Linked DNA regions of Arabidopsis thaliana. The protein of the gene in region 1 interacts with the protein of each later gene in a pairwise test. Each region holds a gene or a part of one and is shown in the gene's direction. Other genes may lie near its edges. The genes, in order: JAZ4 and RAP2.7.

Region 1 (6,072 bases):
TTTCGCGCGTAATTTTAAATATTTAAATTAATAAATCTAACTAATTTTAATTATCGTTGTGATTTTATATGTTCATACTAAATCGTGTAATAATTTATTATGTATGTACAAAAGTTATAGTTTTGAATTTTTGATTAATAAAAGATATTTCGGTCGTATTTTTGTTTATAATTGAGTTAATCAATCCAACTAATTTTTAATTTTTCATTATCGTTGCAGTCAAATAACATTTTTTTTTCTTTCGAAAATTTAGCTTTAATTAATATTAGAAACTTTTGGGCATATTATTATTTATATATGAATAAAGAAATCTAACAAATTTTCAACACTGCTGGAATTTGATATATTTGCACCCACTAAAGTAATAATTGTTAGATACAAATTTGAATAGTTATAGTTATATTTAATGTTAGAAGATAATATCTATATAAATTATTTGATATGGACCTAATAGATAATTTTTGTAATTATTTACTTCTAATTAAACTAATTCAGATTTTTCGAATAACAAGTATTTTTATTTATTTCTTACTAAATTAATTCAGATTTTTATAATAAAAATATGTTAAAACTTTTTCTTTTTGAATTTAATGTTAAATTATATTAAAAAGAAAAATAAACTTGTTACATATGAAATGCTAATTGTTTTGAGAGTTTTTTTAAAGAAAAGGAACTTCTAATTGTCTATTATCTATTGCCTTGATTCAAAGTTTTAAACCAAACTTGGATGCCATCTTTGAACTTCAATCCTCCACTACCTTGAATTGTGCTCAAACGGTTTCTAAGATTCTTGTCTATAATCTTCACAAGTATTTCCGTCGGTGATGATTGCTCCCCATGCCTGATGCCTCCTCCTATTTTGTTCATTCCAAATTGAGTGTATAGAGTTCTGTCTGTAGTGCATACCTAAGTATGTAGCTCTTCGTTTTGTATAGAAGGTTTTTAGATAAAGTTTTCATAACCTCTGTCCAACTCGCCGAATATCTGTCCGAGAGAATTCCCCTTGTTAAGTCTTCCCATATCTTTTTTGAGTAGGCGCAGTGGAAAAATAAGTGTTCCTTCGTCTCTCTACCTGTTCATTGCAAAAAATGCAACTCGAATCTACATTACATACCACTTTCTCATTGTCTCTCTACTCAAATTCTGTTTTTCACAACCAACCAAGTAAAAAGGGATACTTTGGAGTAACGTATGGGAACCATATCTCATTGTGTCCCTCTATCGACAACTTTGCTAAAACTTGTGTTCAACGTTCTCTTTTTGTTATGTTTTTTCTTTTTAAAATCTGGAACCTATATAAAATCAGCTTATTAGAATATATTTATAAACTTTAATTTTTAATTTTAAAAATATTATATGGTAATGACTTATATAATCTCAAGAAGAATTGTTTTTTCCATAATTCGTATGGAGCCTTATATTTTTTTGGTCTGGCTCTGGTTCTATGTGGCAAGTTTTGCAGCTTGCTCATAAATTCATAATGCCAAGGGTAAGCTCCATACACTCGAACTTGGTATGAACATGGGAGCTCAGCAGTGTACATGTACTTGTAATTTAACCTCATGACTATTAACTCTTACAGTTCCGAAAATAACCTCTTTCTTAGGAACTCTTAGGGTTTATCCAAAAACAAAAATACTTTGATATATTAACAAACGAAATCTAACAACAGTAAAAGAGGAAGTTCTCCGTATGGGAGAACCAATACGAAGCATAAATGCTAGATTTTAACAAATGAAATCTAGCCTTTTTAACAAGGACATGAGCATACCAAAAAAAACTTTAAACGAGAAAAACCATCAATCTCTATAAAAAAGAAGGCCATTCATCCGGGATGGCTACGATCTATAGGTTAATTCTTATCTAAAAAAAACATTAATCAAAGATAAATCAATAATGAGGCACTGCATGACCCAAAGCAAGAATTCAAACTTTGTATGAAGAGGGATCGAGACGACGGTGAAAGCTCTTCTCAACCACATTATTACCATGTTTTGTTGTGTAGAATGAATGAGTCAATGACTCAATGCACTACAAATAATTGCTCTCTTTTAACTTGAGAATAAGGGTTCTTATTATAATGCTTATCAGCTTTAAATATAAAAATAAATAATGTAAAACATTATTTTAAGTTTGATATTAACGACATATTTATATATTTATATATTTATATCCAAGTTGTTCAAAATAAAAATAAATATATATATTTATATCCGATGATTGAATTTCTAATATTGGAAGTTTATTCCGGAACAGGAAAGCAGACGTGGGATATACACATACCGCATCGGATGATTTATATTAAAAAAATATATGTATACATCATTAGAGGAATCATAAATCGGCGGTGTGTGTAACTTCAACTCACGTTTTTCATTTCTCTCCAAAGTCCTTCAATTGTTACTAATTCTCTCTGATCTCTCATTTCTTCTCTTCTCCGGTGACATTTTTTTTCTCCCCCGCGAAAGCTAAACCGTTTTTGTATTCTCAACGATTGATAAGCCTGATGGAGAGAGATTTTCTCGGGCTGGGATCAAAGTTATCTCCGATAACTGTGAAGGAGGAAACTAACGAAGATTCAGGTAATTCATCTTCAACATCTTCCATTATGATCTGATGATTGTGTTTTTCATCTCACTTTTTTTTGTTTCTATTTTTGTAATCTCTTTTTTTGTTTATTGTTCAAGTACATATATATTGTTTTTCTAGCTTGATTGGGAGTCCTACTGTCTGGTTTTTTCTTGAACAAGAAATTTTTTCTTCGTTTTCTCGGGAAGAGAAAAAATAAATTAGGGTTTCTTTTTTCTTGATATATATTTAAGAAATTAGGTTTTAGTACTATAGACAGAAATTTAGCTACTCGAATTTGTTTGACGTAGCCGATGAAAAAACACGTTTTGGGACTCGATAGTTAGAAAATTCATACGTTCACGATCTACTTTTGAAGTTTTTTTCATTAAATATTTTTTGCAAACTACAAATGTACAAGTATACAACTATACAAGCAAACACCAAACTTGTTGACGTTAGTAATTTAACAAGTGTTAGTATTATCTTTGAAAAATAATATTCAGAGAACAAACTTGATTTTCTAGGTGACTAGGTGATGCATGTTTCTAAAGCTGTTGGTAATGTTGAGTGTTTTCAAAATAATTTCGTTTTTTTCTTCAAACAGCCGACACCGACAGAACAAAAATGCTATATTTTTTTTGTTGCTTACAAAATTGATCAATTGGTTTCAATACAATAGTATCTTCTTTAGAAAAGATTGTTTTTTTCAAAGCCGGATTGAATATTGAGAATTAGAACATTGGCTGGTTATTCTTTTTGAAAAGTTTATGCCATTTTTTAAGGTTTATTAAGCAACTTGAATTCTATCAGTATTATTTAAAAACGAAGACGTGAAATGTTGGGAAAAGAATGCGTTATATAGCGACCGGCTGACGATTAGAGATTTAACAACAAATGCAAGTTGAATTATATAAAAGCAAGATTGATTGTGACTTGATTAAGTTTTATTTCTATCCAAGTAGACTCATTGATTAAGTTAGGATCATGTTGGGTATTAAATTTAGATCAAGTTACAATTTGGATGAATAATTTACTTACCCACGAGGAATTTAATAGTTAGTTCTTGTCTTTTTATATTCCGAAACGTGCCATTTCTTGAAAGTATTTGTATGATCACTATTTTCCCCAGTGTGTTTGGCTTTATGCAGATTTGTTCATTGTTGATGAATCTAATGTTAAGAGTCGTCCACTTTAGCATAGCTAGATCTGAGTGTTTCCTAGTTTGATAAAATCTAAAGACATTTGCTCATGTTTCAGCCCCAAGTAGAGGTATGATGGATTGGTCATTCTCAAGCAAAGTCGGTTCTGGTCCTCAGTTTCTTTCTTTTGGGACATCCCAACAAGAAACGCGTGTAAACACAGTCAATGATCATTTGCTTTCTTCTGCTGCAATGGATCAAAACCAGAGAACTTACTTCAGCTCACTACAGGTTAGGCTATTTCTTGAAAAGAAAAAAAGTAGTGATAAAGTGTGATTTAGTGACCTTGTAAGAAAGCTTGGCAATTGGTTTAGTTTCTTCTGGTCTCAAAATTGATACAAAATGATCTCAGGAAGACAGAGTGTTCCCAGGTTCCAGTCAGCAAGACCAAACAACCATCACAGTCTCCATGTCCGAACCAAACTACATCAACAGTTTCATAAACCACCAACATTTAGGAGGATCTCCTATCATGGCACCTCCAGTTTCAGTATTTCCTGCTCCAACCACTATTAGGCATGCACTGCATTCTATCTTCTTCTGTTTAACATCAGATACAGAACCTCTTTACTTCTATAGTTGACTCGAGCTCCTTTATGTTCATCTCCAGATCTTCTTCAAAACCACTTCCCCCTCAGTTGACAATCTTTTATGCCGGTTCAGTATTAGTTTACCAAGACATAGCTCCTGAAAAGGTAACCAAATTTCCTTCAATATGTGTTACATTACAGTCCAAGCTATCCACTGACTAAGTATTCAATCAAAGAAATAAGTTTCACGTATAGACATGCTGAAGTTATAGAAAGTTACTAACCTGGTTTCAACATACAGTATGTTAATGATTCATAGATATGATAAATCTTTGTCCTTACTTCTTCATTTATTTTGTATTCATAGGCCCAAGCTATCATGTTGCTAGCCGGAAATGGACCTCATGCTAAACCGGTTTCACAACCTAAACCTCAAAAACTGGTTCATCACTCTCTTCCAACCACTGATCCTCCAACTATGCCTCCTAGTTTCCTGCCTTCCATCTCTTACATTGTCTCTGAAACCAGAAGTAGTGGATCCAACGGGGTTACTGGACTTGGACCAACAAAAACAAAGGCGAGTTTAGCATCCACGCGCAACAACCAAACTGCTGCCTTCTCTATGGCTCCAACAGGTTATAAATGAAGTCTTAACTCCTATTAATGTTTTGTCATCAAACTTCTATCTTAGGTTTAGTTTGTTATAACCAAAAAATCTTGCTATGATTTAATACAGTGGGTTTACCACAAACACGCAAAGCATCCTTGGCTCGGTTCTTAGAGAAACGCAAAGAAAGGTACTGAGCTACAAGATTATTCACTTATTCACAATATCAAAACACAGGTTTGCTGTATATTGGCTTCGTTTTCTTGCAGGGTCATTAACGTATCACCTTATTACGTAGACAACAAGTCATCAATAGACTGTAGAACACTGATGTCTGAATGTGTAAGCTGTCCTCCAGCTCATCATCTGCACTAAAACCAATTTAGACCCCTCATTGTTCTAAAGGCTTTTTCTTTTTTCTCTGGCTCTGTATCCTATAGACTATAGTATAGTTGTTATAGCTTTTGTTTATTCAGATTTTAGTACACTGGGCTTGTAAAAGCAAGTTATTTATATATATCCTATAAATTTAATTTGGATACTGTATGTTTTGTCTTTACTCTTGCATGTGTATAAAAAACATAAAAGTAAGACTATTCAAGCTCTTCTAGATTTTGTTGAAGTCAACTTTATGTTTATACTTTTTTTTCGATAATTGATATAAAATATTTCCACCAGCAGATGAAAGTCATTTAATTAGTTGGTGCCATGTGCTATATCAGAAAATAAAACATTAGTTTATATACTTAATCAGTCCTCGTCGTCGTCGCCATATATAGTAGATCAAGAATCTTGGATGAGACAAAGAGAAGATCCTGGAGGAGAAAAAGATGACAAAACTCGTTTCCAAGATATTTAAGAGGTTGATTTCTCAAAGTCAGTACATGTCTTCTTCTACTACTAGCAATCTCCCTGCTGCTTCACAAACTTCCAATCTTGAGAGCCAATTGCTTTCTTCAGCTCCACCACCCGCAAGTATCTTGCACATGCTCTCTCTCGTCTAATTTGTGATTAAGTTCTGAATCTTGGTTCTGAATCTTTGTGTAAAAATGTTTTGCAGAGAAGAAAAGAGGGTCAGCGTTGTTATGGTACTTAGTTGGATTCACTACTTATGGTCTCGGTGAGACGTATAAGTTCCTACAAACACAAGTGGTCTGTGATTTTC
Region 2 (5,397 bases), on another chromosome or scaffold:
AAGATTAGCGTTAAGACAGATATTCTCTATATTTGAGTAAATCCCAGCCGTTGGATCACTGACCTATACCTTATTGACCAATCCCAATCGTTAGTACAATGCCGTCCAAGAAAGAGAGCTTGCAATCGCATGTTTTAGATGTATGCTATTAACCCTAAATCCTCAATTTCTCGATCTCAATCTTGCTATGTGGTGGGTGATACATCAATGGTAATTGATATATTATTCTTTTATATATTTGTGGTTTTGTTAAAGAAGGTATCAAATCTGATGCTCTGAAAAAGTGTGATTTTTTTACTGGATTTTAGTCTATGTAAGTATGTATTATGGACAGAGTTTAAACTTGAATCCGAACCATTTAAGACCGGAAAAATTTCATGCTATTCTCAAACTAAAAGAAACGATTAACCATAATTAGATCTATTAAAAGTGGATACATCAATCAAATAATAATATGGGCTGTGATAATATAGTTGTATCAATACTCGGGACAAAAATGCAACACGCTACAATGGTAGATTCAATTATACCGTATGAATGAAAACATTGCATGTGGGCTACTTCTTACGAAGAGACATGTTCACTTCCAAAACTAGTACTAGTCAAATGATTCGACATAACCTGAATACCAAATGCTATATCAAAAATGGCAAATATTCAACTAATAACTAAAAAGAACAATACTTTTAATTTTCTTATTAAAAAAGTTCTAGATAATAACCTTTTGAGATTTGATTTTCGAAGATATTAATAACGGCAGATTACTAAATGCAAAATTACAAGAAAAAAATTTATATTATGTGATTTTCTAGTAAATGTCGATTCTACCGTAGTTGACTACGTGTTGGCGATGAATCTTCTGAGCGAATTTTCGGGAAAGTTTGACAACATCATCTATGTCATCAATCACCATCCCCCGCTTCACTGAGGCATGATCAATGCTCTCATGGTAGCATACAAAGTCAAACATAAGTCATACTCATCACCCACAATTCTACAACAATATGCTTATCATAGGACATTAAAATCAAGGACGAGGAAACTACAAGAGCTAAAGACATCGCGGACAAAACCATATAAGTAGTGGTTAATACAACAACCGTTCACTCATACGATTAGCACTATAATAACACCTCGGTCATATACACTAATCAAAAATACCAATCCACTAATCCTAGACCTATGACTCAAATACCATCTGCCCATGTCCAAGTCCAACATCCCATCCTCTAATGGCATACTTGGACCAATATCCATCAAGCCAAATTGGTGCACACACTCAATCTCAAAACACACCAACGTACATTCCTAATTAACTCATGCAATCAACACTATGTCACCCCAAAACCCAAACCAAACGACGTGAAAAAACATGTAACACACGAACCAAATCACATTTTACTCTTGTTAACATTAACGAATCAACTACACCTACAAAAATCTAATGTAACAAGCATGGGTTAAAAAAAACAATACTGCAGCGATCATTACTCTTGTTTTGGTCGGAACTAAAAGTTGATGTTTCATTTCATGTATTGTATTGTCTCCTTTGAAAACCAAAGCATTGACCAAAAGCAGTACGTACCGGCAAAAAAAAAAAAAAAAAAAACCGGAAACTTACTTAGCCGGTATACCACTGCCAAAAAAGGACCAACAACAATATGTTAAAATTTTATTATAAAGTTATTATACACATTTATAGTTACAGAGAGAGAAAAACAACTTTATTATAAATAATGATCATCCTCTAAAATTGGGTCTGAAATGTTCCCTCACACGTCTCCTTCTATCTTCTTCTCCACTTTAAAAAAAAAAAATATCCGTCTCACTCTCTCGCCGCCGGTAACATTTCCCGGCGACAAAACTTCTCTACTCTCACCATTCCTCCATCGTAATCTCTAAATTCTTCTCCATTCTCTTCTTCCTCCCGATCATCTCGAGCTCTTCGTGAGAGATTATGTGATTATGTAATCGTTGTTGCTGTAGAAGACGATCTCTAACAACTGATTCCTTCATCATCACCTTCGCTAGATTTGTAATTTTCAGAGCTTGAGATGTTGGATCTTAACCTCAACGCTGATTCTCCCGAGTCGACTCAGTACGGTGGTGACTCATACTTAGATCGGCAGACATCAGACAACTCCGCCGGGAATCGAGTGGAAGAGTCCGGTACATCGACGTCGTCAGTTATCAATGCCGATGGAGACGAAGACTCTTGCTCTACTCGAGCTTTCACTCTCAGTTTCGATATTTTAAAAGTCGGAAGTAGTAGCGGCGGAGACGAAAGCCCCGCCGCTTCAGCTTCCGTTACTAAAGAGTTTTTTCCGGTGAGTGGAGACTGTGGACATCTACGAGATGTTGAAGGATCATCAAGCTCTAGAAACTGGATAGATCTTTCTTTTGACCGTATTGGTGACGGAGAAACGAAATTGGTAACTCCGGTTCCGACTCCGGCTCCGGTTCCGGCTCAGGTTAAAAAGAGTCGGAGAGGACCAAGGTCTAGAAGTTCACAGTATAGAGGAGTTACTTTTTATAGAAGAACTGGTCGATGGGAGTCACATATTTGGTAAGTTTTTTTTTTTTGTTGTTGATGATAATACAAGTTTCTCGATTTAGTAATTTTTATCAGTGAGATTGATTCAATTTTTTTTTGTTTTGTAGGGATTGTGGGAAACAAGTTTATTTAGGTAAATTACAATTTTTGTTAAAATTTTGATGATTAAGATTATTGATTCATGGTTGTTGATTTATATAGGTGGTTTCGACACTGCTCATGCTGCAGCTAGGTAATTTTTGGATTATTATAGATAAAAGTTTTGTTTTCGGAATTGTTAAGGTTTGGATTTTGATTAGTGTTTGTGTTTTTGTAGAGCTTATGATCGAGCTGCTATTAAATTTAGAGGTGTTGATGCTGATATCAACTTTACTCTTGGTGATTATGAGGAAGATATGAAACAGGTTTTTGGATATAAGTCTTTTGTTTTGGTTATATGATTGTTTTGAGTAGTTTTTTTTTTAACTGTGTTATCTTCTTGTTTAGGTACAAAACTTGAGTAAGGAAGAGTTTGTGCATATACTGCGTAGACAGAGCACGGGGTTTTCGCGGGGGAGTTCGAAGTATCGAGGGGTTACGTTACACAAATGTGGTAGATGGGAAGCTAGGATGGGGCAGTTTCTTGGTAAAAAGTGAGCAATTTTGTTCTTTAATATGAACTTTTTGATTTTAGAAAGGGTATGAAACTAGGAATGGTGTCTAAGTAGTGGTTAGGTGATTAAGATGCTTGAATTGCAGGTATATTTATCTTGGGCTGTTCGACAGCGAAGTAGAAGCTGCAAGGTTCCTTAATGATCATTGTTTGATAGAAACCTTTAGTAGAACTTCACTTTGTTTTTATCAAAGCCAACATGAAGTTTCTTTCTTTCTAAACATTTTCTTGACAACAGGGCTTATGACAAGGCTGCAATCAACACTAATGGTAGAGAAGCAGTCACGAACTTCGAGATGAGTTCATACCAAAATGAGATTAACTCTGAGAGCAATAACTCTGAGATTGACCTCAACTTGGGAATCTCTTTATCGACCGGTAATGCGCCAAAGCAAAATGGGAGGCTCTTTCACTTCCCTTCTAATACTTATGAAACTCAGCGTGGAGTTAGCTTGAGGGTAACTAACTTTCAAATACCAATCTCTCATGAATTCAAAACGTACGTTTCTTATCGTCTTTTAAACAAACTGCAGATAGATAACGAATACATGGGAAAGCCGGTGAATACACCTCTTCCTTATGGATCCTCGGATCATCGCCTTTACTGGAACGGAGCATGCCCGAGTTATAATAATCCCGCCGAGGTAAAAACATAGAATCAAAGTGAAACAACACAATGTAGTCGCAAGACAATGAAACAATGTTTGTTTTTTCAGGGAAGAGCAACAGAAAAGAGAAGTGAAGCTGAAGGGATGATGAGTAACTGGGGATGGCAGAGACCGGGGCAAACAAGCGCCGTGAGACCGCAGCCACCGGGACCACAACCACCACCATTGTTCTCAGTTGCAGCAGCATCATCAGGATTCTCACATTTCCGGCCACAACCTCCCAATGACAATGCAACACGTGGTTACTTTTATCCACACCCTTAACTTGTAAGGGGACATATGAGAGTTTTTTTACCATCTCTCTCTCTCTCAACACTCTAGTCCCCTTTCAAAAATGTCATTTGGGTTTTAGATTTTTCACATACAATGATCAATTTTTCCAAATTCAGATGAGAAAATGTGTTTTTTTTTACATCAAAATTTGGTTTGTTGAGAAAAAACTTTATCAACTAAATGGTAAAAAAAATGTGTATGTTTGTGGTAAATTTTAAATCTTCTCAAAATGTCTTTACCTAATAAGGTTTGTTTATGTGAAAATATGTTTTTTTGGTAAGAGGACTCTTGAAATTTGGAAGGTACAATTTGTAACAAAAAATAAAATATGAGGATGAAGTTTTGTCGTTTTATGTGAAGGTTTGATAGTATAAGATATTTTGATTAAAATAACACTGTTGAAAAGAACAGTAAAGAGAGATAGTGATAGGTTTTGGCTGCCTCTTCGGAACCCCGAAACGATTTGGCAAAAACATTACATTCTTATTTGTATACATATTCGGATATAGTGCCAAATCTAAATGCTTATTCTATAGTCACGTGTGAAATGTATTGTACTTAACTATTCAGTGAGTCATGCATAATATGGTTTAAACTTTTGGAATAGATTAGATGCTCTGTATTTTCTAAACTATATCAACTAAACAAATAATTAGGAAATATTTTTAGTCAAATGGTTAACGGTAAGTCATTAAACCGAAACGTCCACAAATGACGAAGATCCTAGGATATTTGTAAAAATTTAGTACTTTTTAAAAACAAGGACGAAACATTCGAACTACTTTTTTTTGGGCTACGTTGGTTTTTTGTTATATAGTCAACAAAAAACTTAAAGAAAATGGTGTAGTTGTTATGCCAATTGTCAAGCTAAAAGAAAAATAAGAGATTCCCGATCTTCTGTTCTGTCAAATCAAATCTCTAAGTCTATCTACCGTTCCGGGTAATGTAATAATATTCAGTAAAGATGTCATGTCTTAAAGAAACTAAATTTATTATTCATAATATTCCAAAAATGGCCCTTTCCTATGACTCGTATCCTATGCCTTTACCAGTAATCTAAAAGCTCACATGTTTCCTTCTTTAAACATATCATTATCCTTCTTTTTAAGAATATATTAAGAATACCATTATCTTCAATCGACAATTTTCTGAACACAAAAATACTTTTATGATGAAATGTAATCATCTGATTTACAATATCATTAAAAGTATTGTAGATTTTTTAAAGGCATGCAAGATCATTAGTAATT

What was found.
Region 2: the proteins of JAZ4 (region 1) and RAP2.7 interact in a two-hybrid assay, tested with the Arabidopsis thaliana proteins (one study listed by BioGRID).

The regions. Positions count from the first base shown.
Region 1 is NC_003070.9:17,929,152-17,935,223, forward strand, and holds JAZ4 (jasmonate-zim-domain protein 4), read left to right. Parts: upstream 1-2,238; 5' UTR 2,239-2,506; coding exon 2,507-2,582; intron 2,583-3,448; exon of another isoform or gene 3,449-3,828; coding exon 3,829-4,001; intron 4,002-4,122; coding exon 4,123-4,286; intron 4,287-4,380; coding exon 4,381-4,465; intron 4,466-4,667; coding exon 4,668-4,935; intron 4,936-5,036; coding exon 5,037-5,097; coding exon of another isoform or gene 5,098-5,104; exon of another isoform or gene 5,105-5,176; coding exon 5,177-5,282; 3' UTR 5,283-5,511; downstream 5,512-6,072. Other genes in the region: AT1G48510 (Surfeit locus 1 cytochrome c oxidase biogenesis protein), read left to right, coding at 5,738-5,882, 5,968-6,059. UniProt on the Arabidopsis thaliana protein: Repressor of jasmonate responses. Interacts with and suppresses RHD6 and RSL1 transcription factor activities to negatively regulate jasmonate-stimulated root hair development.
Region 2 is NC_003071.7:12,224,909-12,230,305, reverse strand, and holds RAP2.7 (uncharacterized protein), read left to right. Parts: upstream 1-1,681; 5' UTR 1,682-2,054; coding exon 2,055-2,566; intron 2,567-2,661; coding exon 2,662-2,687; exon of another isoform or gene 2,688-2,715; coding exon of another isoform or gene 2,716-2,755; coding exon 2,756-2,786; intron 2,787-2,870; coding exon 2,871-2,958; intron 2,959-3,040; coding exon 3,041-3,186; coding exon of another isoform or gene 3,187-3,190; exon of another isoform or gene 3,191-3,292; coding exon 3,293-3,337; coding exon of another isoform or gene 3,338-3,444; coding exon 3,445-3,664; intron 3,665-3,739; coding exon 3,740-3,850; exon of another isoform or gene 3,851-3,922; coding exon 3,923-4,138; 3' UTR 4,139-4,650; downstream 4,651-5,397.